4 linked regions of the Mytilus edulis genome follow. The protein of the gene in region 1 interacts with the protein of each later gene in a pairwise test. Links are inferred from orthologs where the notes say so. Each region holds a gene or a part of one and is shown on either strand. Other genes may lie near its edges. The genes, in order: ubiquitin-conjugating enzyme E2 N-like, E3 ubiquitin-protein ligase RNF103-like, RING finger protein 11-like and E3 ubiquitin-protein ligase AMFR-like.

Evidence for each region.
Region 2: the proteins of ubiquitin-conjugating enzyme E2 N-like (region 1) and E3 ubiquitin-protein ligase RNF103-like interact in a two-hybrid assay, tested with the Homo sapiens proteins (3 studies listed by BioGRID and IntAct). The link is inferred for Mytilus edulis from reciprocal best matches to the Homo sapiens genes UBE2N and RNF103.
Region 3: the proteins of ubiquitin-conjugating enzyme E2 N-like (region 1) and RING finger protein 11-like interact in binary tests that used the Homo sapiens proteins (3 or more experiments, as listed by UniProt). The link is inferred for Mytilus edulis from reciprocal best matches to the Homo sapiens genes UBE2N and RNF11.
Region 4: the proteins of ubiquitin-conjugating enzyme E2 N-like (region 1) and E3 ubiquitin-protein ligase AMFR-like interact in a two-hybrid assay, tested with the Homo sapiens proteins (2 studies listed by BioGRID and IntAct). The link is inferred for Mytilus edulis from reciprocal best matches to the Homo sapiens genes UBE2N and AMFR.

What each region holds. Positions count from the first base shown.
Region 1 is NC_092344.1:52,090,693-52,098,098, forward strand, and holds the start of ubiquitin-conjugating enzyme E2 N-like, read left to right. Parts: upstream 1-4,396; 5' UTR 4,397-4,503; coding exon 4,504-4,545; intron 4,546-7,406. UniProt on the Homo sapiens protein: The UBE2V1-UBE2N and UBE2V2-UBE2N heterodimers catalyze the synthesis of non-canonical 'Lys-63'-linked polyubiquitin chains. This type of polyubiquitination does not lead to protein degradation by the proteasome.
Region 2 is NC_092347.1:26,685,365-26,692,356, forward strand, and holds the start of E3 ubiquitin-protein ligase RNF103-like, read left to right. Parts: upstream 1-3,967; 5' UTR 3,968-4,223; coding exon 4,224-4,449; intron 4,450-5,452; coding exon 5,453-5,702; intron 5,703-6,992. UniProt on the Homo sapiens protein: Acts as an E2-dependent E3 ubiquitin-protein ligase, probably involved in the ER-associated protein degradation pathway.
Region 3 is NC_092344.1:15,816,035-15,823,317, reverse strand, and holds the start of RING finger protein 11-like, read right to left. Parts: upstream 3,029-7,283; 5' UTR 3,008-3,028; coding exon 2,888-3,007; intron 1,298-2,887; coding exon 1,146-1,297; intron 1-1,145. Other genes in the region: uncharacterized protein, read left to right, coding at 3,602-3,627, 5,982-6,116, 6,761-6,849. UniProt on the Homo sapiens protein: Essential component of a ubiquitin-editing protein complex, comprising also TNFAIP3, ITCH and TAX1BP1, that ensures the transient nature of inflammatory signaling pathways. Promotes the association of TNFAIP3 to RIPK1 after TNF stimulation.
Region 4 is NC_092348.1:64,431,240-64,438,769, forward strand, and holds the start of E3 ubiquitin-protein ligase AMFR-like, read left to right. Parts: upstream 1-4,515; 5' UTR 4,516-4,743; coding exon 4,744-5,067; intron 5,068-5,973; coding exon 5,974-6,066; intron 6,067-7,530. Other genes in the region: epimerase family protein SDR39U1-like, read right to left, coding at 666-772, 4,215-4,230. UniProt on the Homo sapiens protein: E3 ubiquitin-protein ligase that mediates the polyubiquitination of lysine and cysteine residues on target proteins, such as CD3D, CYP3A4, CFTR, INSIG1, SOAT2/ACAT2 and APOB for proteasomal degradation.

The sequences.
Region 1 (7,406 bases):
AACAAATTATGTCTTTAAGAGAAAGGTATATACCTACATATTACATAAAAAATCCTTCCCAATTGAAATTTATTGGTCTATTATCACACTGTAACGTGCCAGTGCTAACAAAAGTGTGCATGTTTCTAAGACATATTGAAAAAATATTTTCATAATTCATAGCATGTTACAATAATTTCTAACCACGTTGCAATTAAGAATTTTGCAAACAAATCAACCAAATATATTTCAGTTTTATTGTATGATATCAATTATTAATCTATTGTGTGACTTTCTTGTAAATGTATAAGTATGTATGTAATTTTTAATGTATAATTGTTATCCTCTTGTAGCACCATACGTGTGCCTAAGTTGTAATAAATTGTCTTGTCTTGTCTACAATTAAATAATAAATGTGTACCTTGCCTTCTCTATGCGGATGACCTGGTGTTATTTTCAGATAATAAAAAGGGTTTACAAACCCAACTTATTTTTTATACCAATATTGTAGTGACTGGTGTCTTGAAATAAACACAAAGAAAACACAAATTATAATCTTTAATAAAAATGGGAGACTACTGTCAGATGAATTTAATATAGGTGCAAACAGAATAGAGTGTTTGAAATTCTATAAATACTTAAGGATTAGTTCTTACTAATACTGGAAAATTTAATGCAGCTAGAAAAAAACCTATATGATAAAGAACTAAAGGCTTCTTTTAAATTTTACAAAAACATTAAGTCATTTTCTCCATCTATTAAGACTTTACTTCATATATTTGATCACACCATCAAACCAATGGCTGTGAAATATGGGGTATGTTAAATTTGACTCCAAAAAGAAGAACCATGCATCTTTTTGAAATCTTCAAAGATTGGGAACCTGATAAATTAAATCTTAAATTTTGCAAGTATGTTCTTGGTGTCTCCAAAAATTGTACAAATATTGGAGTTATATCAGAGCTAGGTAGATTTCCTTTGTATATTAACATAGTAATTTAAATGTTTATGTATTGGCACCACCTTGAAAACTCGCCCACTGATCTCTTAAGTGATGCTTATATTGAAAGTTCCTCTGATAAAGCTGTGGCTAATCAATCGTGGTATGCAAACATAAAGTTTTTTAGTGAAAAACTTGGTTTAAATTTAGCACTTTGTAAAAAACTCAGTAAAAATAAATTCAAAATTTTACTTACAAAATGTATCAAAACGGATTTTTTAACATATTGGAGCCATCAAAAAGACTTTTAAAAAAAAGATGATCACAGTAAATTGAGCAACTACTTTAAATTTAGACATAATTTCACTTTTGAAGATTACTTCAAAATTAAGAACAGAGATAAGAGAGTTATACTAACTAGATTTAGAATAAGCAATCATTGTCTCCGCATAACGAAAAATTGATGAACATGGAAAAAATATTAACACTGCCAAGATCGGAGAGAACATGCCAGTTTTGTTCAATGAACTCGGTTGAAGACCCTTTATAATAAGGAAAGAAAAGGCTTTTTATTTTTACTTTATGTGATTACATGCTTGTTATGAGCCCTATGATTAGGAAATAAAATATCTTTATCTTATCTTTATACGACCGCAAAAAAAATATTTTGCGATCGTATATTGGTATCATGTCGTCGTCGTCCGAAGACATTTGGTTTTCGCACAATAACTTTAGTAGAAGTAAAAAGATATATATGAATTTTAACACAAGGGTTATGACCATAAAAAAAAAGTTGGGATTGATTTGGGGAGTTTTGTCCCAACAGTTTAGGAATAAGGGCCCCGAAAAGGGCACAAATAAGCATTTTTCTTGGTTTATAACTTTAGTATACTAGTAAGTAAATAGAAATATATGAAATTTAAACACAAGGTTGATGACCACAAAAGGAAGTTTAGGATTGTTTTTGGAGTTTTGGTCCCAATAGTGTAGGAATAAGGGACCAAAAGGGTCCAAAAGTAAACTTAGTTTGATTTCATCAAAACTTGAATTATTGGGGTTCTTTGGTGTGTCGAATCTAAACGTGTATTTAAATTCTTAATTTTTTGTCGTTTTCAAATTGGTCTCAATTAAGGTTCAAAGGGTCCAAAATTTAACTAAGTTTGATTTTAACAATAATTGAATTCTTGGGGTTCTTTGATATGCTGAATCTGAACATGTACATAGATTTTTTTTATTATGGGCCAAGTTTACAAGTTGGTCTAAATTGGGGTACAAAATTAAACTTTGTTTGATTTCAACAAGGATTTGTATAGTAAATACAAATCCTTGATTTCAACAAAAATGGAATATATGGGGTTCTTTGATATGCTGAATCTAACCATGCATTTCGATTTTTATTATTTGGGCCCCTTTATCAAATTGTTCCACACTGAGGTCTAAAGGGTTCAAAATTGAACTTTATTTGAATTCATCAAAACTTGAATTCTTGGGGTTCTTTGATATTATGCTGAATCTAACCATGTATTTATATTTTATTTATTGGACCATAAAAGGTAAAAGACCAAATTAAAATATTTAAGATTTTAGACCACATTCATTCTGTGTCAGAAATCTATTTTGTGTCAACGTTTTAATCACAACCCAAATGCAGAGCTGCATAAAACTTGAATGGTGTGTCCATACTAGCCCCAACAAGTTCAACCTCTGCGGTCGTATCAAGCTGTGCCCTGCGAAGCATTTTATTATCTAATATAATGAAGCATAACAGAAAAAAAAGTTTCTCTCTAAATATCATAGTTTTCATGATAAATGGCAAAAATGAAAATAAAATATCATAAAACTTGTCATTTATGGGCAATAACTCCTATAAGAGTTTGTCTAGCAGTTTAGTCGTATATATGATAAAGGACAATTGATAGAGCTCATTATTCTGAACTTATTTTTTCATTTCAGATTTTCTCTATTTAATATAACGGTTCAAAAATAATAGATAAAACTTGCTTTTTACTTTTCTACTTTTACCAAGTCAGCCCTGTTGGTTGGTAGGCAGGGTTATCTGACATTTTTTAGCTAGATACTAACCTTAATGATGGTTGTTGCAAAGTTTGGTAAATTTGTCTCAGTAGTTTCAGAGGAGAAGATTTTTGTAAAAGACTACAATAAATTACAAAAAAATATCCAAAATTGACTACAAAGGACAATAACTGCTACAGGGGTCAATTGACCATTTTGGTAATGTTGGCTTATGTGTAGATCTTACTTTGCTGAAAATTTTGCTGTTTGCAGTTTATCTCTATCTATTATAATACTCAAAATAATAACCAAAAAATGTAAAATTTTCTTAAAATTACAAATTCTGAGACAGCAACCCATCAACAGGTAGTCTGATGCGTCTGACAATTTCAGGACAGATACGTCTTGATCTGATGAACATTTTCACCCCCGTTCAGATTTGCTTTAAATGCTTTAGTTTCAACATGGAAGTATTATATTGTCAATATAATACTTCCATGGTTTCAACAACAAATGAAAGATTTTAACGACCTTGACAGGCTATACAGCCCTTGCACGGTCGGCATTAGTTTCATCGGATACATTTTTCAAACTAGATACCCCAAGTTTGGTTTTATTTGGCCCATGCTTTCAGAAAGGAGATTTTTTTTAAAAGTTAGCGGACGACGACGGACGACGGACGCGAAATGATGAGAAAAGCTCACTTGGCACTTTTGGTCCAGGTGAGATCAAAATGCCGGAAGACTATGAAATAGAACCTATTGACATCCAAATCAAGAATAGAAGTGGGTATGGACACTGCTTTCTGTCTCTATATTGCCGGGGTGGGGTGGGGAAGAAAAATAGTTAATATCAAAATCAATAAAAAGCAAATGAAAATTAAGAAATATATGCATTATAGGGATAGAAGAATTCGGTATAATGCAATAATACAAGTACAATTTAGACTCAGCAATAACTCTGATTCGGTAAGTCACCCGTTAAACTCGGGAAAATATTCCATGTTTCAACTTGGTTGATGTTTTTCAGTCATATTGTGCCATTTCGTGGCTGTCAATTTTTTTTATATTTCAGTTGAGGAAGCCGGAGTGCCCGAAGAGAACCACATACCTTCAGTGGTGGATCCAGAACTTTTCCTAAAGGGGGAAAAAGTCATGCTTCAGTGATTCCCTATATAATCAACCAAATGTTTCCCACTACAGGGGATCCAACACCACCACCCCTGGATCCGCCTATGAGTTCTTCGACATGAAAACTGACAATCCGGCCTAGTCAATTACGATTGGAGTCGAGTGCACCTGCCACTTGAATAGTAGGTATTGGGAATTTATGTTATGATAAAATCTTTATTATGCCTAGATAACATTCCGATTTTTACTAGGAGGATTCTGAATCCTACTGAATTCCATTTTTTAATGTGACATATTTAAACAAAGTGAAACAGATACAATAGTGGACGAGTTGCACTGGGGCGAAATACCCATTTTTAACTTCCGGGGAAACGCCATTTTAAAACGTTCTGGTTCTCTCATAAACAGATAAACAAGACTTATTATAAGAAAAAGTAAAGAATGGCCACTGTACCTGGGAATTTACCCCGTCGAATCATAAAGGTGCCAATTATATTTCTCATAAAGTAGTCGGGATTCATAAATGATATCATACTTCAGTGTCTACAACATGATTTGCCATTTTTGAGTGAAGAGTTGAACATCATCATGTACAATTTCTTTGTGAATGGCGAGTTTTGCGGCAATACCTTTTTTTCAGTGATGAAAAGAAATACCATAACATTATTGTTTTAAGTTATTAGTCCAACAAATGATTAAGAATTTGGATGTCAATTCAGGGTTTGGTCCCCTGTTGGTTTCGACATCGGTCTGACATACCGATTTATTGGCGATTACCGGTCTATTTGAAAATCCGGATAAAAGGCCGATATGACTATAAAAGAACTTATTATTATTTGTTATCTTCAACACTAGACCCTATAAGTTGAGAAACTTGAACTGTTGATGTAATTCAACAATCACTTTTAGGTTGTTGCTGAGACTACTATAACATGTGTTATAGTAGTCTCAGGTTGTTGTGTCAAATCCCAACAATCACTTTAAGGTTGTTGTGTCAAATCCGGGTCTGTTCGTCCTGATTCACATTCGCTCAAGTACTTGTTTGCCCAGGTACATTTGTACCTGTTTGTCCAGGGTCCATTCATCTTGATTTGTATTTTTTCTTAATGCTGTCTAGGTGCATAATATTTATTTTGGAAACAAAATATGTTACAGTGGTATCCGGTCGTTCCGGCCCCAAACCGATCCGGCCCCAAGTCAATCCGGCCCACGTCGATCCGGCCCACGTCGATCCGGCCCCAAGTCGATCCGGCCCCATAATAAAATAAGAAATAACTATATTGATCTTGGAGGAATTTGTGACACAGTATAAATGGAATTTGCAAAAAGTGTCCAATGATGGATGACAACAGGTATTAAGTGAAGTATTGGAGTACCAGTTAAAGAACTATTTTAAATCGATACGAAAATGATTGTTATTGTGTCGTTGGTTGTATGGCAGCTTCAACATATTTTAAAATATGAAGTTATTTTCCATGATAACTTTAACTTTAACTCATGGCGATTTCATTTTCTTTTTTTTCATACACAGAATATCTAAATAAATATTTAGTCCACTGGAACCTATTAAATTTAACTCATCATAATGACTTGATTAATCAAATCATTAGTCTATAATTGGTTTGTTTATTCAACAATTGTCTGATGATTGTTAACTAAGGTGATGCCACTTGTAATCACTTAATTAAATCAAATCCTGATTAATTGATCTTCTGGTTAAGGTTGGTGTTTATAATAATTATAAATTGTATTTTTTTCAGGTAACATCACAGGCTTCTATTTACTTGTTTTTTTTTTTTATAATATCAACGAGGTCTTTATAGATTGATATTTTGTTTGGTGTATATAATAATAACCTATAATGGTTTACTTTTATAAACTGTTATTTGGATGGAGAGTTTTCTCATTGGCAATCACACCACATCTTCCTATATCGATATATTTTTCATAAATTTGACAGTATTTTCAATGAATAGTTGTGTGTAGAAAAAACACAAGTTATATGAGTATCCATTATTCTTTATTGCAAGAAAATAACAAAACAATGACACTGAATGCACATTTTCACACTCTAAAATATAATATCAGCACTACTAAAATATAACAATAACATCATACATACTAACTATCTCTGACACTCACATAAATATACATAACCTTTTAATAAATCATTTACACTAACAGTTTTACACTGTCACTTACTTAAAGGAATTGTTTTAATATAATTATACCCAATAATCTTGAAAACTTGAAAAATAAAAACATAATCAACCTAGTTGTTTTATACTCATCTGAAGAATTTTTTTTTTTTTTTTTTTACCGTACACCTTTAACATTATAATAAAAATCATAAACATTTATGAATTACTTTAATATATATCTTTATTTTTATTCCTTATAAATATATTTTTTTATTGGGGCCGGATCGACTTTACATTTGGGCCGGATCGACGTGGGGCCGGATCGACGTGGGACGGATCGACTTGGGCCGGATCGACGTGGGGCCGGATCGACGCGAAAGCGTTACAGTTACAGTTTGTTGAAAAATTCGCCAAATATTTTTATTATGTTATCTTTACATATTTCTGGGTACACAAATATACAAAATGAATCCATGACAAATCGCCCCACACCTAATCGCGCCACTTTTTTTCAAACTTTCCCCACTCTTGTTTACCAACTCGCCCCACTTATGAAAAAGATAAACTCCCATTGCAAATAGGTTTGATAACATGCCCCCCTTATGAAAAGGGTTAAAATCCCGCTGAAATACAGTCTGTCAACTGGCCCCACTCATGACAAATAGATAAACCACTTATAAAAAAGATGCAATCCCATCTTTTTCCCTGCCCACGTCAATACCTTTGAAAACCTAAGTGAAGTGCTATAAAATCAAATTGCTGTTAAAAACTCTGTTTTTGCAATAAAGTTATATATAAATGTTAATCACGCATCAATTGTATGATTATGATACAATTAATAGGTTTCTTTTCAATTGTTATACAAATAACTAAGCTTACAAGTATAAAGTTATTCTCCAATAATGATACGAAAATGTATTTGCAATTATATTTTAAGAATGTTAAAAAAGTTTAATAAATTTCATTTTTTTTGTATTCTGTGTAGATTACAAAAATCAAAATAAGTTTTCATTTAAGTGCGGCTAGTTGGTAGACCTGAAAATTGTATATAGAAGTAGATTTTTCCTTTTTTTCAATAAGTGGGGCGAGTTGACAGGGGAAAAATTAACTGGATTTAACCCTTTTCACAAGTGAGGCGATTTTTTTAAAAAGTGGGGCGAGTTGGTTAACCAGGTTGGGGCGATTTTTTTAATAGTGGGGCGA
Region 2 (6,992 bases), on another chromosome or scaffold:
ATAATAAATTATATAATATACAAGTGTACCTGGTATAGCAAAGTGTATATAAACTATATCATGTTCAAGTGTACCTGGTATAGCGATATATATAGTATGTTGTCAATTACAAAGGAGTAGGGGCAATAAGGCCCTTATTTGGCCCAAAAATTACTGCAAATTTAAAAGTTTTCATACATATTTTAAAATTACTGAAAAGTATCTCAGGTAGAAGGTATTCAGAAAAACAAAATAATTTTGGACATTAAACAAGTTACCATGGCAACAAATCATGCCTTAATTTGCATATTTTGTAAAATTTTGTGATTTTCGTTGTTTTTCATCAAATTGTTAAGTATATTTTTGATTGGAAAAGTATGTGCGCACCCAAGAAACAACTTTATATTTGGTGAGATTTTGTCAATAGTAATGATAAAGCTTCAGTTAAATTATTTTGTTGTTTCTTGGCTGCGCACGATGTTTCCACAACAGAAATAAAGATAGAAAACTGCATAAATTCTGAATTTTCATCGTTTTTGTGAAAACAGTATATATTATGACGTAATTGTGACGTCATCACATAAGAATCTTAATGTTTTCTTTATATTTCTTGACCCTATGCATTTCTTAAGATTATGTTCCGATTTGAAAAAGTTATCAAACATTTTATTTTCTTGGGCCAAAACCAGGCCTTAATGCCCCTACTCCTTTGAACAAAGGCTCACTACAATTTTTGGGTATCACATGTATCATATTCTCCCAGGTATCCACTTCAGGGTTCACCAGGCATTAGTTCCCTTTCGTTTGTAAAAAACTAACTGAGTTCTCTTAATATTAGGTACAGAATTAGTCTGAACTCTGAAGTCCATTTTGGAAAGGTTTACAACAACAGAAAAGAATAAGGGAAATATAGTTCTATAGTCATTAAAACTATTGGTGATACAATGTATAAACATAGTACATGTATTTACAACATTAATGATATGAATGTAGTATTCAGAATGCATATTTAAATTGTTTCTATCTTACCTTTTCTTTGTACCACTTTGTATAAATTTCTTTAAATCTGTGTTTATGTTTTCTATAAATATTTCCTCCAATGGACTTAAATATCGACTTCCAAAGAAGGATGCCAGATCGAGTCTGTTAATATTTATATTTGATGCCACCAGTACCTTTCATCACTGCAATAATAAACATTTAAAATAAAACATATATTAAACATTGTCAAATTTCAAATTATGAATGTACATGCATTTACAATTTCCTTTAGCAAATAGCCTATATGTCCATCTGATGAGTTAAGCCTTTTTCAACTGATTTTTATAGTTCCTTCTTATGTTGTACTGTTATACCACTGTCCCAGGTTAGGAGAGGGTTAGGATCCCGCTAACATGTTTAACCCCACCAGAATATTTATGTAAGTGCCTGTCCCAAGTCAGGAGCCTGAAATTCAGTGGTTGTCGTTTGTTTATATGTTACATATTTGTTTTTCGTTCATTTTTTTATACAAATAAGGCCGTTAGTTTTCTCGTTTGAATGATTTTACCTTGTCATATCGGGGCCTTTTATAGCTGACTATGCGGTATAGGCTTTGCTCATTGTTGAAGGCCGTATGGTGACCTATAGTTGTTAATGTCTGTGTCATTTTGGTTTCTTGTGGATAGTTGTCTCATTGGCAATGATACCACATCTTCTTTTTTATATGTATCCCCGTACAGAGTAAATATACTGAGTAAGGAGACTAAAATATTCACTGTAATGGCAGCTTTTAATCATTCTTCTTAAAAACTTCATGTACACCAAAAATTTGCCTCTTACAGAAAAATGACTTGAGTGTGTAGGTAACAGTAATATCTTAAGCTATATATCTTGCTTGCTATAGCTACATGTACATGTAACTGAACCATGAAATCATTATAAGCTAAGGTACCACCTTTTTTCGGGAGGAGACAATGAATAGGCACAGATCCAATCAAAAGTAGGAGCAATATACATTGTATAAATATTGTGAAACCGATTTTACAAGTTAGTTATTAAAACATGTTTTCAGGTTAAAGGTGTGCTCGATTTGCCAATTCAATTTCAGTCAATTCAAGGTGAACTGATGGAATCCATATATAAAGTTTTTTAATAATTTGTCAAAATGTAGTTTTATCCTGACCCATACTTTTTAATAACAAAAAGTATGGGTCACCAGATTTTTTTTTTTTTTTCATGATACGGGTTGTACAAAATTGTCAAATTTTTTACAGATTATGCATGGAAAATCCAATTTTGTTTGATAAAAGAAAACTACACCATAGAATTTTAAGATAAGATAAAATGTGAGGAAATAGCCTTTTAACATGCTTTCAGATAAGAAAAGAAAAAGTGGGCCACCGGTCTTGTTTTCTTGTTACATATAAAAATAGGTAAATTCACACTTTCTATTATCAAAATCACTTTATTTGAGTTATCTCCCATATAATCTGAGTTATCTCCATTTATGTGGCAAAGCTGAAAAAATGAGTCAAACACAAATATTGCGTCTTTTAGAAAATACAGTTGTAAATATGATAAAACATATAGTTTCTATAATAAATGGAAGAAAAAAACACTTTTCATGACAATTTTATATATGTTGATACATATATAAAAAGGATATAATTATTTGATTTTGATGTGTAATTTAATGGGGGAGTATACGTACTGCAGAAGGTGTTAAATTAAACTTAGGGGGTCAAATCACAAATTTAAAATTATTTTTTACGCACTCCAACATTCCACTCATTTTCAATTATTTTTGTGTTTTTGTAAATATATATATAGGCCACGCAGCGCAAAACAGTAAATAATCTTCAGATAATGAAGGACTACTGAAAACTTAAAGAAGAAGTCTTCAAGATGTTCCTCTTACCATGCAATTGTAAAAATGTTATTGTATTGTTTAAAAAAAAAATTGACAAATCAAACACCTCCTCAAAATGCTATACACTATATTTTGCAGACTGAAAAGCCAGTCAAGGTCGTTTAACTACCATCATCAACACTATATTCTAAATTTAGATTGGAAACACATAAATTTCTAATCTAATTTCTTAATGTGTGTGCACTGTCCTTCCTTTTGATTGCAATTGTTTATCTACTTAAATATAAAGGTTTAATCCACCTAAAAAAGGGGTCATACCTAACTAATAATCCTTACATATTTCACCTAGCAAGCAAGCTTACCAAAAATATTTCCTTCAACTACCATGACTACACATTTACAAGTCATTTTTCTGTAAGTCTCAGTCACACATTAGGATTTTTTACTGCTTTCCTTGTTTGGACTACTCCTGATTAAAACTTGTCATAAGTGAGATCAAGATCCTGTGATTGGTGGTTATAAATTTATAAAAACATTGATTTAATAACCAAATCGGATATTGTTTAGCAAGCGCTTGTCTAACTCAATCCAATACACCTCATATAGCTACATGTATATGTCCGTAATTACTAGATATCACACAGGTTCCCGAAAAAATATCTAATGCCACAATGGAAAAGTGATTGTTTTATGCGTCAAAAGTTCAAGACGCCGGGTCAGCCGGGATTAGTGATAAGGTGTATTGTGATCAGATTAATTTGTACATTTTGCACACAGTAAAAACGACCCAATATGTCATGTACGTGTCAATAGTAAAGGTTGCCATGTTAGAGTCATGTTATTTACAACAATATTTGTTTTCAGTGTACTATAGGCATGATAGGTGATCATATGTAATAATTTGCTTTTACAACATGCATTTTGTCTTTTTGATTTTGACTATTCAAATTCTTGGTTTGGATAAATGTTTCATCATTTAATACTAACAAGATGGCGAGTTCATCTTACCCTTTAAAGACCTATGTACTACTTCACCTCAAATAAACATGAAATTTTTCAAAAAATAGCTGCCAAACATTTCTAAAGTACAAACAATAAACTGGAAGTTCTGTTGTCTCCGTCAACGTTTTGGTTTTTAGTTTCTCACTGACCTTTGTTTACTTCCGGTTGAATGGCAGCTTTGTAAAGTTGACGAAAGTCTTTCGTCAGATAAAATGGGGGAATTTGCCATTTACCAGACCTTTCTTTTGCATTAAATGATGCATTGTATTGAACCTAAATTGTCTACAAAAACTGTCATTTGATTTTGTTGTCTTTGTAATCAAATTTTCTGGGAAGTTTAATGTAGACGTGTCACTTAATATTTTGACATTTGTTCCCGCCATATATAACAATGTTCATCAAGCTAATATTGTTTCTTGTATACATTGTTATACTTTTTCTGCTGACACGTATACTTGAAACTTTAACATGGATTGAAGTGGGTAATCTGTCACGTCGACTCCTTGATCCAATGACCATGTCTGTCATGAAACTGAAGGCCTTGCTAGACCAAAGAGGGATCGGTTATGAAGGAGCAATAGAGAAACAAGAGCTTGCTGAATTAGTTGAATCATCAGGTTATACAAATAACAATTTGATATTTTAAGATATGAAATGTAATCTTAAATGTTGACAGATTTCTGTATCAAAAAAAGATATATTGAAGAGATGTCACCATGATAACTTCAGATTGATTTCAATTTAATTCTATTCAAACCTAAATATGACAGTTGGAAGTCTGCAAACAAAAAAATCTTTGTATGATCCTACAGTAGTATGTTCATAAAAATGAGATGGTCATGTGATTGCCAATGGGCAACTATTCACCAAAGTTCAATTGACAATGATGTACATTGTACATGCGTAAGTTACATGTACTATCCATCAGCATACATGTATGGCCTTCAACAATTAACCAAAACAAAACTGTATAGTCCGCTAGTTATGGTCCTGACATGACAAAATGAAACAATTCAAACAAACCAAAACAATTTAAGGTTCATTCTCATAAACCATGTAAACAAAACACACATTTTTCAAGATCTTACATTACAATGACAAATGTAATTTGTCCAGTCTTATCTAATTGATTTCCAGAGTGACTATACCATCATTGAGACACATACTAATGTACAAAGTATGTAAATACAGTCCAACTGAAAATATGTGTTATAATTCCTAACCACAGTTTGTGCCAAATACATTTTCAATAACAAGCCTACATTTTGTATATGACAGTGAAAAAATGTATGGCAAAGCTGCTGCCTATTATTTTGGAAGATATATAGTTTATATGCCCTTAGACAGCTGACATATGAAAGCTTCTGATCTTGCAAACTACAAGAGCATTTGTCAATCATGTCATTACAATAACATTTTCTATTAATATTACATAATTTCTAATGTAAAGTTAAAACTATACATTCATAGAATATAAAATGGTCCAGATCTTCTGACACCTGCCTACTGTAGCGGAAAAAATACAATACATGTTTTCAAACTCAAATTTTGTTTGCAAATAGAAAATGCAAAAATGTATTCAAAATTTTTTTAAATGTATATATTTCAATATGATTTCAGGTGCCATTGCTGAAGACACAAAGACAAATAAGGAAGAGGAAATCTCGACAGTTGCTGTTACAAATTTCACAACCGGAAGTCTGTTTGATGAACATGTAGAGGATGCTAAGGATAGCATTTGGTTGGTTTATATCATACCAGATCAAAGCCATGTCAACTACTTAGCAGATACTAGCTGGAATATCATCAAACAAAAAATGTCTGCATTTGGAGTTAATATAGGAGTTTTTGATTGTAGTTTAGACCCAATGTAAGTACAGATAAAAATTAATAAAAAAGTGTATAGGTTACAACCTATAAGTATGATAAAAAGGTACAGTAAGAATGATTCCTACTTAAATTGTACCAAATATATATGTTGTTTTAAAGCAAACTTCTCAAAGTATTGGATGGAAAACTTTTTGACAAAGTCATCCATTTACAAAGAGATGTGTTAGAAACATGCAAGACTTGATATATATGTGCTGTGGATATATCAGAATTTAATCAATTCCCTCCCATGACCATATTAGTTTTATTGTCGAGCCTGCAACTTTTGTTGCAGAAAGCTCGACATAGGGATAGTGATCTGGCGGCGGCGTTAGCTTACTTCCTAAAAGCTTTATATTTTAGAAGGTAGAAGACCTGGATGCTTCATACTTTGTATATGGCTAAGTATTCAGTATAGTGTTGTTAGTGTGTGACAACATATATGATTTTAAAAGTAGCTGTTTCAATCTTAATAACATGATTTTCTGAAAGGAGAATGATTCTAGTTTAGGGTTTTACATGTAAAAAGATAGTTATTTAGTCAGAAAACATAAAATTAGACCTAAATAGCATGTTGGACAGAGGTTATGTTGGACGTAACAGGACATTGAAAAATTGAATATTTTCCTTTTATATGAAGGCCTAGTTAATAAATATATCAATTTTTCTCTGACAGTTCATAAGATCTTCAATTAAAGTATATCATTTTGTTAAATTTTTCTTACTTGTAAGTTGGAAAAATCTTAAAATATGTCGGACAAACGGGGACATTTTTGGATGAGAATTTGTTCCATTTGCATCATTGAAAGTCAAAAACAAAATCAAAACTATGCTGTTTATACTAATATCTACAGCTGGTGTTCCTCAGCAAGAGGTAAAATGGTTCATTATTAAATAAATGGATAAAACAAAACCATAAAAAACTGTAGGACAAACATAGGACAGATTATATTCCCTGTCGGACAAACATAGGACAAAATTCATTAATTTACTGATCCTAATGGGAATTTAAAAATGGGCACCTCTTAAGAAGAGACTAGGAAGAGTCTGAGAACTATATTTTAGTTTATGTGGACTTGTTAGTTGTTAACAAGGTTCTTTTTACTTTTAAAAAGCTGTTACGTCCGACATTAGAAGATTTTGTCCTACGGTTCGTCCAACAGAAAATTAATGGACTCTTGTTACGTCCTAATTTTCAAAATTATGTCAAATTTAGACTGTCAACAGTTTAAAACCTCTTTATTTTTCATTTATATGGTAGTATTTAAGGTTAAGTAATTGTCAAAGTAGA
Region 3 (7,283 bases), about 36 Mb from region 1:
CAAGGACACAATGTCTGCGCAGTAGACTATGGAAATATAAATTAACTATTTTTAAAATCCATTTTTTTTTTCATCATGTGACAGTAAAAATATGAATATTTAAAGATAAATTACCTATTTAATATGCTATTTTTTTTCATCATGTGACAGTAAAAAATATGAATATTTTTTTATCATCATGCGAGTCTGACAGTAAAAAATATGAATATTTTTTTGTTGGCCTTTAAAATATAAAATGATTTACAAAAGAACCTTTTAAAGCACTTATAATGTGATGGGGCCTCAACAGGAAGTTTTGACAAAATAATGTAAATGAAACAATACATAACTAATTCCTGTTTACTATATGAGTACTTCCTTATGATAATAAGTAGGTCACATGATTAAAGTGCTTAGTAAAGCTAGATTTAAAGATAGTTAACCAAGTGTACTTTTTTCAACCTGTCTACTTACATGGAAATATAAATAATGTATGTTTATTTACGGTAAAGAAAAGGAATATAAATCAATTGAACTCTTTTGATACCTATAGTTACACAAAATCAATCCTTAAATATACACTTTTCAAACATATTAGGTAGACACTAGACAGTATCAAAATTTGATAAAACATAAATATAATTTAAGCTATAAAAGATTATTTTAAAAATTAAAATCTGTATTCTGCAGACCAAAACAAGCGACTCTATTATAAGAACAAATAATACAATAAACATTTTCACTAGTGTTTTTTTTTTACAAAAAACAAATCCTAAAACTTTTAGTCTATAGATTTAATCTGAAACATACATTGTAACTTATGAATATAAAATACTAAGCAAAATGCTAGTCCAATATTGCTCTGACCTTCAATCGCTGTTTTTCCGGAAAACAGGTTTAAAGAAAAACATTGAGCCAGCCAGACATTTTTGGTACATTGTACCTGACTAAACAATATGTGTTATAGTAGTCTCAGATTGAACCTTTTAATTTTTTACGACTCAAGCCATTTCAGCCAGGTGCCATATGATGAGATTCTACTATATAAATTATTCATACCCATATTAAAGAATGATAAGGCACATAAATATGACTTTTTTTACAAAGCACGGTTACAAGGTAACCACTAAGATAGTGACACCCATGTATAAATATGATCAACTTACTCTTTTCCTCGTTTACTACACCCATCATAAACTCCTGTAGGTAAATGACTTATAAGACCTAATCGTTGGGCAATCTTTATCTGTTCATCTTCTGTAAGCATATTAGCTGGCCGACTGACATTGGGTGATGGATAATATACTGGAGCTCGCTCCTGAAATGACCAAGACAAAAGTTACGAGTGTTAAGAGCTGACAGAGCAGTTGATGAAAGAAGAAGGCATATATACTTCTACATGATTGTCATGATAGTGGTTTATTAGAGCCACATTTACATGTACATAACTGCACATTCCTTACTCCAGTTATTGGCAATAAATTTCTATAGTCAATACACATTTAGGATTTCTTTAACTTTAATAAAGGTCCTGATACCTGATAAGTTATACTTAACTAACCATTGATACCTGAACCTGAAACAAATCCTTATCTATCTGAAACAATTATATCCTGTGTCTCCTAAATAAACTCATCATAGACATCAGGATGAAATTTTGTATAAAAGCCAGACACACGTTTCGTCTACAAAAGACTCACCAGTGACGCTCGAATCTCGAATCGAAACTCCTAAATTAGTCATCCTAACAATCATTAGATTGAAGTTGAAATGTACAATAACCTTCATTTACAATGTATATTTTAAATTTTGTAGTCTTTGTATCACGTTTATATAAAACTAACTTTATAAACATACTCTCTGTGAAGATTTTAAAACTGACATTGTCTGTATCTGTATCTGTATAATACTGGAAATGAACTCAAAATACTGAGTAAAACTTATCCAGGAAATGTGTGTGCACCACTGATGTATCTAGTCATGCGATATAACTGCCTTAAAACTTTCCACAGTTTTACAGTTCACGGCAGCATTTGGTAGTAAGTTCCAATCAATGATAGTTTGTGGAAAAAAAGAATGTTTATAAATGTCAGTATTTGCTGATAAAAGTTTTATTTGTTTGACGTTAGAAATTCTGGATGGTCTAGTATTAAATTCTATATGATGTTCAGTGGGGATGGCTACCAGGTCGTTCACTATTTTATACAGTAGTACCAGTCATTGTTCTCCTCTTCGTTCCACAAGAGGTTTCCATCCAAGGTCCTTCATCATGGAGGTGACACTACTCGTACGTCTATAGTCTTTACAAAGGAATCTAGCTGCTCTTCTTTGTATGTTCTCTATGCGGTTTATGTCTTTTTGTAGATATGGACATTAATTATGAACCAAAATGATTTTAATATTATGCAGAAACATTCATTGTTTACAGGTCCATGTGTTTTTGTGTGTCACTGTTCTAAAGACGCTCGAATCAAATCTCCTAAATTAGTCATCCTAACAATCATTAGATTGAAGGTGAAATGTACAATTAATAACCTTCATTTACAATGTATTTTTTTGTAGTCTGTGTATCACCTACATTGTATATATAAAATAACTTTATAAACATACTCTCTGTGAAGATTTTTAAAACTGACATTAATTATGAACCAAATGAGTTTTAATATTATTCAGAAACTCATTTCCATGTGTTTTTGTGTGTCACTGTTCTAAAAATAGGACATAGACTGTCTTTGTTGTCAAGATCAGCTGATCATGGGGTACATTTATTATACAAACACAGACATCAGCTAATATATATTTTTTCAAAATGTCACAAATATCCATTAAATTATAGTCCTAACTAAAAGTAAATGTTTGTTGATTTGCGTACACTTCTCATAATGACCATAAAATAGGAAATATTTACCTGATATGGTGGTGGAGGTCCAACTGGAACAGGAGCTGCCTGCTGAGTTCCATCTTGGCTGTCATTGTCATGTAACAGCGTAATATCATCCGTACTTGGTGTTTTGAAACAGTTGCCCATTTCTCACAAATATTTTGTCATTCAAAGAAGGGTATTTAATCGGTCATTGTTGACGAAATTTTGCACCAAAACATTAACCAAACAACATCAGTTTTTTTTATCCTTCCACATTTGTTGACGTAAATAAAAAGGATTATTTTTTTTTGACACAGAAATTAGCGATTTTATTTTGAATAATTTTTTAGTTAATATGAAATTTCGAACATAAGTACTACAGGAAAAATATTGAAGATTATTGCTGTATTTTTTTCCGGGTAGAAATAATATTCATAGCGTATGAATATGTCTACTTTCGTTTTAGAAAAATAAAACGCACACGGGAAAGCAATTTTATTAAAATGATCTGAAATCAATAAAAGTAATCGGTATCACTGTTTAAAAAATATATTTTCTTGTTTTTGGAATACATGTCTTACAGCAGAAATCATAACATTAAAATGTTATTCGTGAATAATACATTTACGCTGCATGAAAGCTTCTGTGGTACTCTGATCTACTTTCAGTTTGCCAATTTTGCAAGTTGTTCAGAATAACAAACTGAATAAATGTTATAATGTCCTGAGCAAATCATCTTTAATCAGCTGGTAGTAGAATATGGCAGGAACAGACAAATATGAATGGTAAACACACTATTTTTTTAGTCTTTAGTAATTACACATTGGAATTTTTTGGGAAATACTTAGTCTGTTGATAGTAAAATGCTGTCATTTTTATGTTTTGTTTGCGTGCTGTCTTTGTGATATTAGTTGGCGGCATTGCCACAAAACTCATCAGATGCACCACCTCCAGCTTCAAATTAATCCAATACACCTTATCTCTATTTAAGGAGGCTCGTGTGTATAAAAAAATCAGCAAAAAATTAAACAACAAATTTTATTTATAACACTATTAGTTATTACTTTATGATATGGTACAAAAATCACCCGGACTAATCGATTTGGTTTGGCCACAGATGACTTTAAAAATGTATATATCATTGAAAAAGCTCCAAATTATCTCCCTTTGGTGCAAAAATGTAATTTTTTGACGTTTAAATTGAAATATCTTTTTTAACTCATCGGTGACCTATATTTTTTATTATTGTTTTCAAATAGGCTGTACATAAACTAAACAATTGTAAAAATTAAGCGATTTCTGTAATTTAGTTCTTTTTTTATTTTGATATTACCAATATTTCTTCTATTAGTTCCACAGAAAAAAAGGACATTGACAAAAATGTATGCTTCTTTCGGAAGCAGATTGTGAGCTTGAATGAACGGTGACCCCATATTTTTATTTTATATTTCTATTAGGTATAAGATAAAGTTTAATCATAGAAAAAAATAGCAAAATCCTATATTACAAAAAAAGTTGATATAGACCCGTGAACCCCCTTAATGTCTGCCATTACTGGACATTGCACAGGTTCCCGTAAAATTTTGACGTCATAATACAAAATATCTGACGCCACAATGGAAAAGTGATTGTTGTATGACTTCAATAGTTCGAGCGGGACAAATTCAGGGGTCAGTCAGGATTAGCAATAAGGATTAATTAAGGTGTATATGAATAGGTCCATGAATTGTTTCTGTATAGCTTTTTGTAATTTAAGAACAGTTTGTCTACAGAGAACAGATTTTTTTTTCAAAGTTTCTTACACTTCACTTAAGAACTCAAAGCAGAAGTAGACTATTACCAAAATGTGTGACAATTTGGGAATTTGTAAATTAAACAGGAATTTATTTTTGTTACTCAGTTTCAAACAAACATTGCTGATGACTATATGAAACATTATGATATTTATTGTTGAAAATGCATCCTTGCTCCATGCACATAACACTGCAGCTAGTAACACTGTGATGGTGGTGTTGAAAAAGTATCCTTTTGTGAATATTTTAAATGATTGGTTAACATGCTAAAGGGCTTTTTTTTTTATAATAATAGCTTTCAATGTTTATCCATTTAACTTAACATTCTCATTTTTTATTTTTAACATACTTACTTAACATGCTTAATATATTCAAATTAGAAAAAGTCTGAAAGAAATAACTAACAATACAAAGACTTGTTATAATGCATGTTATCCTATATTAACATAAATATATATTTTTAAAAAGATGAACAAGCACATGCGATCATATAATGACGATTTATCCAGGTCTGTATATTTCAAGTCACATATTTATCAATTATCATGGTTTTTGACCAGGTCAATACGTTATATATATGTTCAGATTATATTGAGCGGGCACGAAGTCTGAGTGTTAATATAATCTTACAGGTCCATATATAGCGTATTGACTGAGTGAAAGTCCTTGATTTCTACATTACATATGTAAATAACGTATTAGAAAAATGACGTTCAATGTTCTTTCTGTGTATTTTTTAATTGTATTTTGCAAAAATTTAAAAATGTTATTGACAATATCATTTTTTTTTAAACTTCATATTTTGTTGCATTAGCATTCTCAAATTCTTTTCATCTGCATTTAACATAAAATTCTTGAAATCTCCTGATAAACTTTCAAATTTTCTTTTCTAATGCGGCGCTTCTTCTGTGGTTGTTATGTGTGACGTCATAAATCTAAATTTAGTAACATTTTCATATTGACCACCAATATATGTATTAATAGCAGCATAGCGTCACTATATGTTAAAAAAATACAACCTTTGAAACATGTGATCGTCATATTATCCAATGAAAACAGTAGAATGCCAGTGGCGGATCCAGAAATTTTAATCAGTGGGGGCCTACTGACTGACCTAAGAGGGGGCCACTCCAGTTACGCTTCAGTGATTCCCTATATAAGCAACCAATTTTTTTCCCAAAAAGGGGGGGCCCGGGCCCCTAAATCCGCCTCTGAATGCTATACCATATGTAATATAAAATAGTAACATTCAAACTAGTGGTTTATGCAAATGCATTACATATTACTAAAATATAGAACTATTTAAATGTTTATAAAGCTGCATGAACCTATAATTTATAATTTAGGTCAAACATCTTGCTTGAGTATCTTCCATCAGGTGTTATATTTGAGATCTGCAAACATTTGACTTGGCAAGATATTTTCCACATTAGTCAGACATGTAGGAGATTCAACCAATTGTGTGATAAAGCAACTATATGGTAAGTCAAAATATACCAGTGATTATTTGTTAACGTGGTACATAACACTACAGGGAGATAACTCTGTAAAAAGCAGCTGAATGTTTAAATCAAATTTTATTTTTAAGGAAATATAATGTTTCCCAATGATCAAAATGTGTCCTTGTCAAAATACTATATATCAAATGAAAATTTTCTGATAAAATACTCCATTCAAATTTTTTGGATTTTTTTATATTTTAAATATATGGGTAAAGTACACGCAGGAAATCCATGTAAATTTGTTCCCACAAGTAATAATAAATCCACAGCAATTTTCACTATTAATTCTTAACTGATATTTATACCCCTGCTTTAAACTCTGTCTATCAGTCTGTCCATCCATCTGTAAGTCTTTCGGTCTGTGACGTCTCATGAATATTTTTTGTCGCATCTTTCTCAATATCTACATTACAACAAGATTTCTGAAATTTGGTTTATGGGTTAATATGAGTCAGCTTTACTGTGTGATGCATATCAAATTCATCACTGAACAACTTCTTATTTTAACTAATTCTTTCAGAGGGCAGGGTATCAAAAGTGATCAGTAACTCACAGATTTACTTGTTTTGATTGTTGTTATTTGTATTTTTGTCTGATAATTTTGAAACATGATCTATTTACAGGCTACAGTTAAAATCTCTAGATTTCAGTAAATGTATGTTTCCATTAGACTTGAAAGTTCTAGATGTTGTCAAAAGATGTCCTCAAATAGGTAAATATCTTTCTCAGTTTCTGCAAATTGTATGTTTCCCAAATACTGAAGAATTAAGATTTACAATAAGTAAGTTGTTTTAATAAGAATTAAATGCTTCTCTTTAAAATTTCATTGGGGTATTAAAGTGTAAGCTGAGAAGAAAATATTGTATGAAACAGAGTCACTTCATATAAAAAATGTATCAATTGTATGCTTTAATTAACGTCTGAAATTATAAAAAGGAGCATTCAATCCTTATAATTACATTTTAATGCTACAATGTTGAAATTAAGAGTTGAATAGTTAGCATATTATTAGCATGTTTTAAATTAGTTTTTTTTAGTTGAGTAATTCTTAAATTAGAAAATACTGCATGCATTTATTTTTAGGATTTTTATACAACTGCAAAAATGGTCGTCGTCACCTTCGTCCAAAGACAGATGGTTTCCAAT
Region 4 (7,530 bases), on another chromosome or scaffold:
TTCATTGGTATCAATTGAAGAAGTAATTTCTAGAGTATTTGTGGTGTTAGCATTAGCTCCTTCCAAAGCAACTTAAAAGTTGTATTTCATGGAGTGTTTAAATTGAGGGGGGATAGGACCTTTATATGGACTCCGGGATCGTGTGTTTTTAAGCTCGGGATTTCGGGATTGACCCTTTCGGAATCTGGGAATTCTTTTTTTCGGATTTCGGGATGTTGGGATTTGCTTTATTTAAATTCGGGACCTCGGGATTTCGTTTTTTCAAGTCCGGGATTTCGGGATCAAGACCCCTCCTATCCCCCCTCTAAATTGTGTTTTTTTTCATTCCCCATGAAGTCAATGAAAATTGGTATCCCAGGATTATTAACAAATACACATTAATAGTTAAAACAAAGTACCAGTATATATAGAACTTCTGTTAACATGTGTAAAATTTGCATATACCATTAGAAGATCAGTCATAAAGTGTTGTATAGCTTCATGTTGAAATTTACGGTTACTCATGGTTGCTTTGTCATGTTTATGGTTTGTACTGTTTTGCTCATTGCACAATGGCCATGGAGGATAGATAGAATCAGGCAAATATAAATGTAGAGTAATTAATTAAAATTTGGAACCTTTCATTGAATATATGTTAACCACAACTAATAAAGCTTGTTCTTTACCCAAGTAATAGTATCTGGTCCTGTCTTTCTGGACACTTTTGTTACTTTATAACCCTTCTCTTGTAAAGCTTTAGTTAAATGACGGCCCACAAAACCAGTACCTCCACCTAAAATAGACATATAAATTAAATGTTAATTGTTTTTTACAAACTTGTTAACCATGTTAACAGATGTTGAATTATATCAAAATAAATTTTGTTCAAACTAAATTACGGCAGTTAAATCTTTGTCGTGTCATTGACCTTGTTTTTAAAAATCGTTAAAACATTGAAAAATGGACAATTTTGCAAATTATTTATTTTAAATTAGGCCATTAAGTTTTCTTTATTGAATTGTCTCATATTTTTCAAATGGTTTTCCTACTACAACTGGATATTTGTAGATATATTTTTTGGTCAATGATTCAATTAAGAAGTGTCAATACCTCAGTATAATGGGGGTCTCATTGGGGGGTTCCGATCCCAGATCCCGCTTACTGTTTTGTCAGATTCCAGTTTCCCGCTTACACTATGTACGTAAGCAATTTTCATTTTTTTTTGTCATTTCCCGTTTTCACGACACAATAATTTGACTTTCACGTGTCACGCTTACAAAAAAATGGCAATCCCGCGTCAGGCTTAGACCCCAATGAGACCCATTATAATGACAAAGTTCAGGTGAGATTAAGACCCCTATACATGTACATTGTGTAAATGGCAAATCCCAAACACACTGCTTGATGATGCGCCTGACAATGGCAGAACATACAGATAAGGTAGCAAGTTACATGTGACATCTATCATTGTCTATTATTGGTATCTGTGTAGGATTTCAACCAAAAACAAAGGGACCTGGAATAATGTAATTTTGATCAACACCATTGTGCAATATTGGTTATATATAAAGTTGAATTCTTTGATAAGTTGTTTTAACATCATGCCAGCTAAAAAATTAGACTTCATTGTTTCAGATAGTGTAGATGAGGGTACTAACATTGTGTTACACTCCTGACGAAAAACAATAAAAATTCTTGCCAAATGACGTGAACAGTAATATTTGATGATAAAATGTAAATGATGTACACTTTCTTTTATTCTAAAAAAAACAATCAACAGATTTTGATGAATCACATTAAATTTTATCCAGAAATGACGGTAACAATAATTGCTTGGACATGTTATAGATCTCTGACGAATCATGATAAGGATATTTTGATGAATTATGGTAAAATTTTAATCAATTGGAAGCTAGCCGAAAATGACCATTCCACGCCTGACGATAAATTTAAGGGCATTTCATATTCTCATAGATGAGGGGGGATAGGACCTTTATCAGGACTCCGGGATCGGGTGTTTTTAAGCTCTGGATTTCGGGATTGACCCTTTCGGGATCTGGGAATCCTTTTTTTAGGATTTCGGGATGTCGGGATTTGCTTTAATTAAATTCGGGACCTCGGGATTTCGTTTTTTCAAGTCCGGGATTTCGGGATCAAGACCCCTCCTATCCCCCCTCTCTTATGCAACATATAATTTATAATTGTATAAATAAACCAATTTTTCAAGATGTTTCGGCTTTGGTTTATCTATTTATACAATTATAAAATGTATGTTCCCTATTGCAATTTTAAAAACAAGGATATAATTTATATATAAACAGCTAAAATATCTTGTCCTCTATATTTTTTTATAAAAGTCATTTGGTTGTTTTTGTTAGCTCACCTGGCCTAAAAGGCCAAGTGAGCTTTTCTCATCACTTGGCGTCCGGCGTCGTCCGGCGTCCGTCGTCGTCCGTCGTCGTCGTTAACTTTTACAAAAATCTTCTCCTCTGAAACTACTGGGCCAAATTAAACCAAACTTGGCCACAATCATCATTGGGGTATCTAGTTTAAAAAATGTGTCCGGTGACCCGGCCAACCACCCAAGATGGCCGCCATGGCTAAAAATAGAACATAGGGGTAAAATGCAGTTTTTGGCTTATAACTCAAAAACCAAAGCATTTAGAGCAAATCTGACATGGGGTAGAATTGTTAAACAGGTGAAGATCTATCTGCCCTGAAATTTTCAGATGAATCGGATAACCCGTTGTTGGGTTGCTGCCCCTGAATTAGTAATTTTAAGGAAATTTTGCTGTTTTTGGTTATTATCTTGAATATTATTATAGATAGAGATAAACAGTAAACAGCAATAATGTTCAGCAAAGTAAGATTTACAAATAAGTCAACATGACTGAAATGGTCAGTTGACCCCTTTAGGAGTTATTGCCCTTTATAGTCAATTTTTAACCATTTTTCGTAAATCTTAGTAATATTTTACAAAAATCTTCTCTGAAACTACTGGGCCAAATTAATCCAAACTTGGCCACAATCATCTTTTAGGTTAGTAGTTTGAAAAATGTGTCCGGTGACCCGGCCATCAAACCAAGATGGCCGCCATGGCTAAAAATAGAACATGGGGTAAAATGCAGTTTTTGGCTTATAACTCAAAACCCAAAGCATTTAGAGCAAATCTGACATGGGGGTAAAATTGTTTATCAGTTCAAGATCTATCTGCCCTGAAATTTTCAGATGAATCGGACAACCCGTTGTTGGGTTGCTGGCCCTGAATTAGTAATTTTAAGGAAATTTTGCTCTTTTTGGTTATTATCTTGAATATTATTATAGATAGAGATAAACTATAAACAGCAATAATGTTCACCAAAGTAAGATTTACAAATAAGTCAACATGACTGAAATGGTCAGTTGACCCCTTTAGGAGTTATTGCCCTTTATAGTCAATTTTTAACCATTTTTCGTAAATCTTAGTAATCTTTTACAAAAATCTTCTCCTCTGAAACTACTGGGCCAAATTAATCCAAACTTGGCCACAATCATCTTTTGGGTTAGTAGTTTGAAAAATGTGTCCGGTGACCCGGCCATCCAACCAAGATGGCCGCCATGGCTAAAAATAGAACATGGGGTAAAATGCAGTTTTTGGCTTATAACTCAAAACCCAAAGCATTTAGAGCAAATCTGACATGGAGTAAAATTGTTTATCAGGTCAACATTTATCTGCTCTGCAATTTTTAGATGAATCGGACAACCCGTTGTTGGGTTGCTGACCCTGGATTGTTAGTTTTAAGGAAATTTTGCTGTTTTTGGTCATTATCTTGAATATTATTATTGATAGAGATAAACTGTAAACAACAATAATGTTCAGCAAAGTAAGATTTACAAATAAGTCAACATGACCGAAATGGTCAATTGACCCCCTTAGGAGTTATTGTTCTTTATAGTCAATTTTTAACAATTTTCATAAAATTTGTAAATTTTTACTAACATTTTCCACTGAAACTAATGGGCCAAGTTCATTATAGATAGAGATAATTTTAAGCAGCAAGAATGTTCAGTAAAGTAAGATGTACAAACACATCACCATCACCAAAACACAATTTTGTCATGAATCCATCTGCTTCCTTTAATATTCACATAGACCAAGGTGAGCGACACAGGCTCTTTAGAGCCTCTAGTTCTTCTTTTGATGTATCATTGATACATATTAACCATCTCCCTTATTCTCAAGAATAATGCATCACCTATTAAAGCCCTCATTCTATGTGAATCAATGTATAAGCTGATAACTGCTTCCAGTAGCCGGTGACAGTCAAAACAAAACGTTGCGTAATCACAACTTTATAGCCAATCGAAAATGATAGTTTCGCATGTATAATTTGTTGATTAAAACTTTTAAACTCTTAACATGAAAGATTTTCATAACCGCTTTGAAAATTTAACAATGTAATTTGTTTTTTTGTTAAGGGAGTGATTTTCTACGAAACAGTGGCGATTCATGCAACAGGTGCGCTCGATTTCTTAAGATTTTTATTCTATTATTTTTGGGGAAAACTTTTTCAAACAAAGGGTATCTTCTTTACTTATTTATATTTTATTCGTCGATTTATTGAATTAAAACAAACAAAAATCTCTATTTTGGTATGTTTTATGAAAGAAACGATTACAATGCCGCCATAATACACAAAATTTCAAGTCGAGTGTGACACAATATTTGACAGATCGCCACACAATAATGATTTGTTATCTTTTCTAAAACACAAATAAACCACAATGCCTGTGATACTTCTAGAACGGATACCGCTGCCTAGTCTTCGTACATACACTAGTCTCTCTGTTGTATTGTTGTCATGTGCTGTGTTTTATGCCTATCAATGTGTTCTTGCTTTCCAAACAAACCCACATAATTCTGATCTAAACGGAGCCGGAATCGAACATAATGTTAACATCGGTAATTCAAAAGAAATCAGTGACATATTGAATGATCCAGATGTAGTAAAGGAACCATTACCAAGTGAATTTGACATTCAGCTGCCATATGAGAGTTTTTGGTGGAATGTAGTCTATGTTCTAACTTCAGAAATATGGTGCATTTGGGTAGGTACACTTTGGATCCCTGTCTGTTAACATAGATTCATGGTCGTCATGATTGAGGTTTCACTTTGAAATCCTGTCTGTTCACCCAGATTCATGTTCGTCCTGGTTCAGGTTTCACTTTGAATCCCTGACTCCCTGTCAGTTCACCATGATTCATGTTCGTCCTGATTCACGTTTGGATTTGGGTAGGTTCACTTTGAATCCCTGTCTGTTCCCCCTGATTCATGTTTTGTCCTGATTCACGTTTGCCCTGATTCATATTTGTCTTGATTCATGTTTGCCTTGATTCATGTTTGCCTGAGTACCTGTTCGCCCAGGGTCTATTGTTCCTGATTATTATTTGAACAGAGTTTGGTACAGTTTGTTAAAAAAAAAAATTTCCCTTGATTTGCATAGTAGAATACAATGTATTTATATGCATATATTAGCATAGCATAGAAAAAATAAAAACGTAGCAACCTAAACCTCAACCTAAAACCAGTGAGATCTCTGCAGGTTCTCCTGAAGGGTAAATAAACAGATCCTGCTCCATATAAGGCACCTGTTGTGGTGCATTTTTAAGTACAGACTCAGTGATAAGTAACCAATTTAATTCTCTTTCCATTTGTTACATATAAAAAAATGATAGTCAATGAGACAACTAAGAGGACACAGATATATATATACTCTTTATATGTCACTCACTGTATAGTCTTCAACAATGATCAAAATATTTACGATAACTTCAACTATAAAAGTTTTTAAGACATATGGCATGATGATTTTTTTAATTTCTTATATATACTGTATAAGTATTCTAACTTTTGATTAACTGTGTACATGCATGAATGTGTTTAGGTTCTGATATTTGAATTTATTTTAACATTTCCTATAAGTCGTTGTAAGTGATACATATTTATTTTTCAGACTGTTGTTAACACAGCATATTGCTGTCTTATTCTGCTTGCCAAGTTGATTCAAAAAGCTGTATTTGGAGAGTTAAGAGTTGTAGAAAAGCAGGTAATGTTTACATACATGTATTGTTTTGTATATTTTGACTGATAAGGATTACATAATTAAAATTTCTTATAATAATTGAAGTAAGTCTATTTAAATAGTTGCAAACAAGCAGAAGGATCTGTTATTGTCTGTCTTGTGAATACATAAATGTTGAAGAATTACATGCTTAAATCATGTTTACCATGTTTACATTGTCTTGTACTTTGTACATCTAGGTTCATGCTTGAATCAAACTAATGAATTGTATACATGTATGTTATTTATCATATAAAATGAATTCTTTTGATTTTCTCATTCAAAGATTTAATGTGAAAATCAAAGAATAAAAGTCATGATAATGATTTTAAAGATAAACATGAAAAAATTTGTAAGGGTTCCGCGGAACCCAGTGTCTCGCCTACTTTTGCTGTAAATCGCAGGCTCAACAAAAATGAGGAAAAAAATCAATAAAAATATTCCTCTTGATACTATCTTTTGATTGTAAGAAGCTTCTGTCCAAGTTTGGTAAAAAAAATTCTGTCCAAGTTTGGTAAAAATTTAGGATAGTTAATGAATCTAATAAATGTTTTAAAAACTTTAACTGCAGACTGTATGTAATGTTAACTGGAAGAAAATCTAAGTTCATTTAAAAGTAAAATACAGAAAAAAATGGAGTTATCTTTTTACAAAATTTACTTCTGGATACTATCTTATGATCATAAATAAGCTTCTGTCCAAGTTTGGTACAAACCCAGGATAGTTTAAGAAAGTTATTAAAATTTTAAAAACTTTAACCACAGAGTGAATGTAATGTTTCCCCGCAGAAAAACTAAGTCCATTTAAAAGTAAAATACGGAAAAAATGGATTTGTTTTTTTACAAAATTTACTTCTGGTTCCTATCTTATGATCATAAACAAGCTTCTGTCCAAGTTTGGTACAAACCAAGGATAGTTTAAGAAAGTTATTAAAACTTTAAAAACTTTAACCACAGAGTGAATGTAATGTTTCCCAGCAGAAAAAACTAAGTCCATTTATAAGTTAAATAAGGAAAAAATGGAATTTTATTTTTACAAAATTTACATCTGGATACTATATCTTATGATCATAAACAAGCTTCTGTCCAAGTTTGGTAGAAATCCAGTATAGTATTAGTTTAAGAAAGTTATTAAAATTTCAAAAACTTTAACCACAGAATGAATATTTGTGGACGCCGCTGACGACGACGATGGAATGTAGGATTGCTTAGTCTCGCTTTTTCGACTAAAGTCGAAGGCTCGACAAAAATGATTCAACATATTTAAGTACATAATTTTACTATCAGTGTAAAGGACTATCGAAGTATTTCTAAAGAAGAGTGTTTCTTAAAAGATATTATAATTGTAGATGTAATTAAACATACATGTAGAGAATGATATAAGCATCTGTATTCTGTATCAATATAAATTCTGCCAATGAAGGCACACCTCCAAAGGAGTTGAATAAGT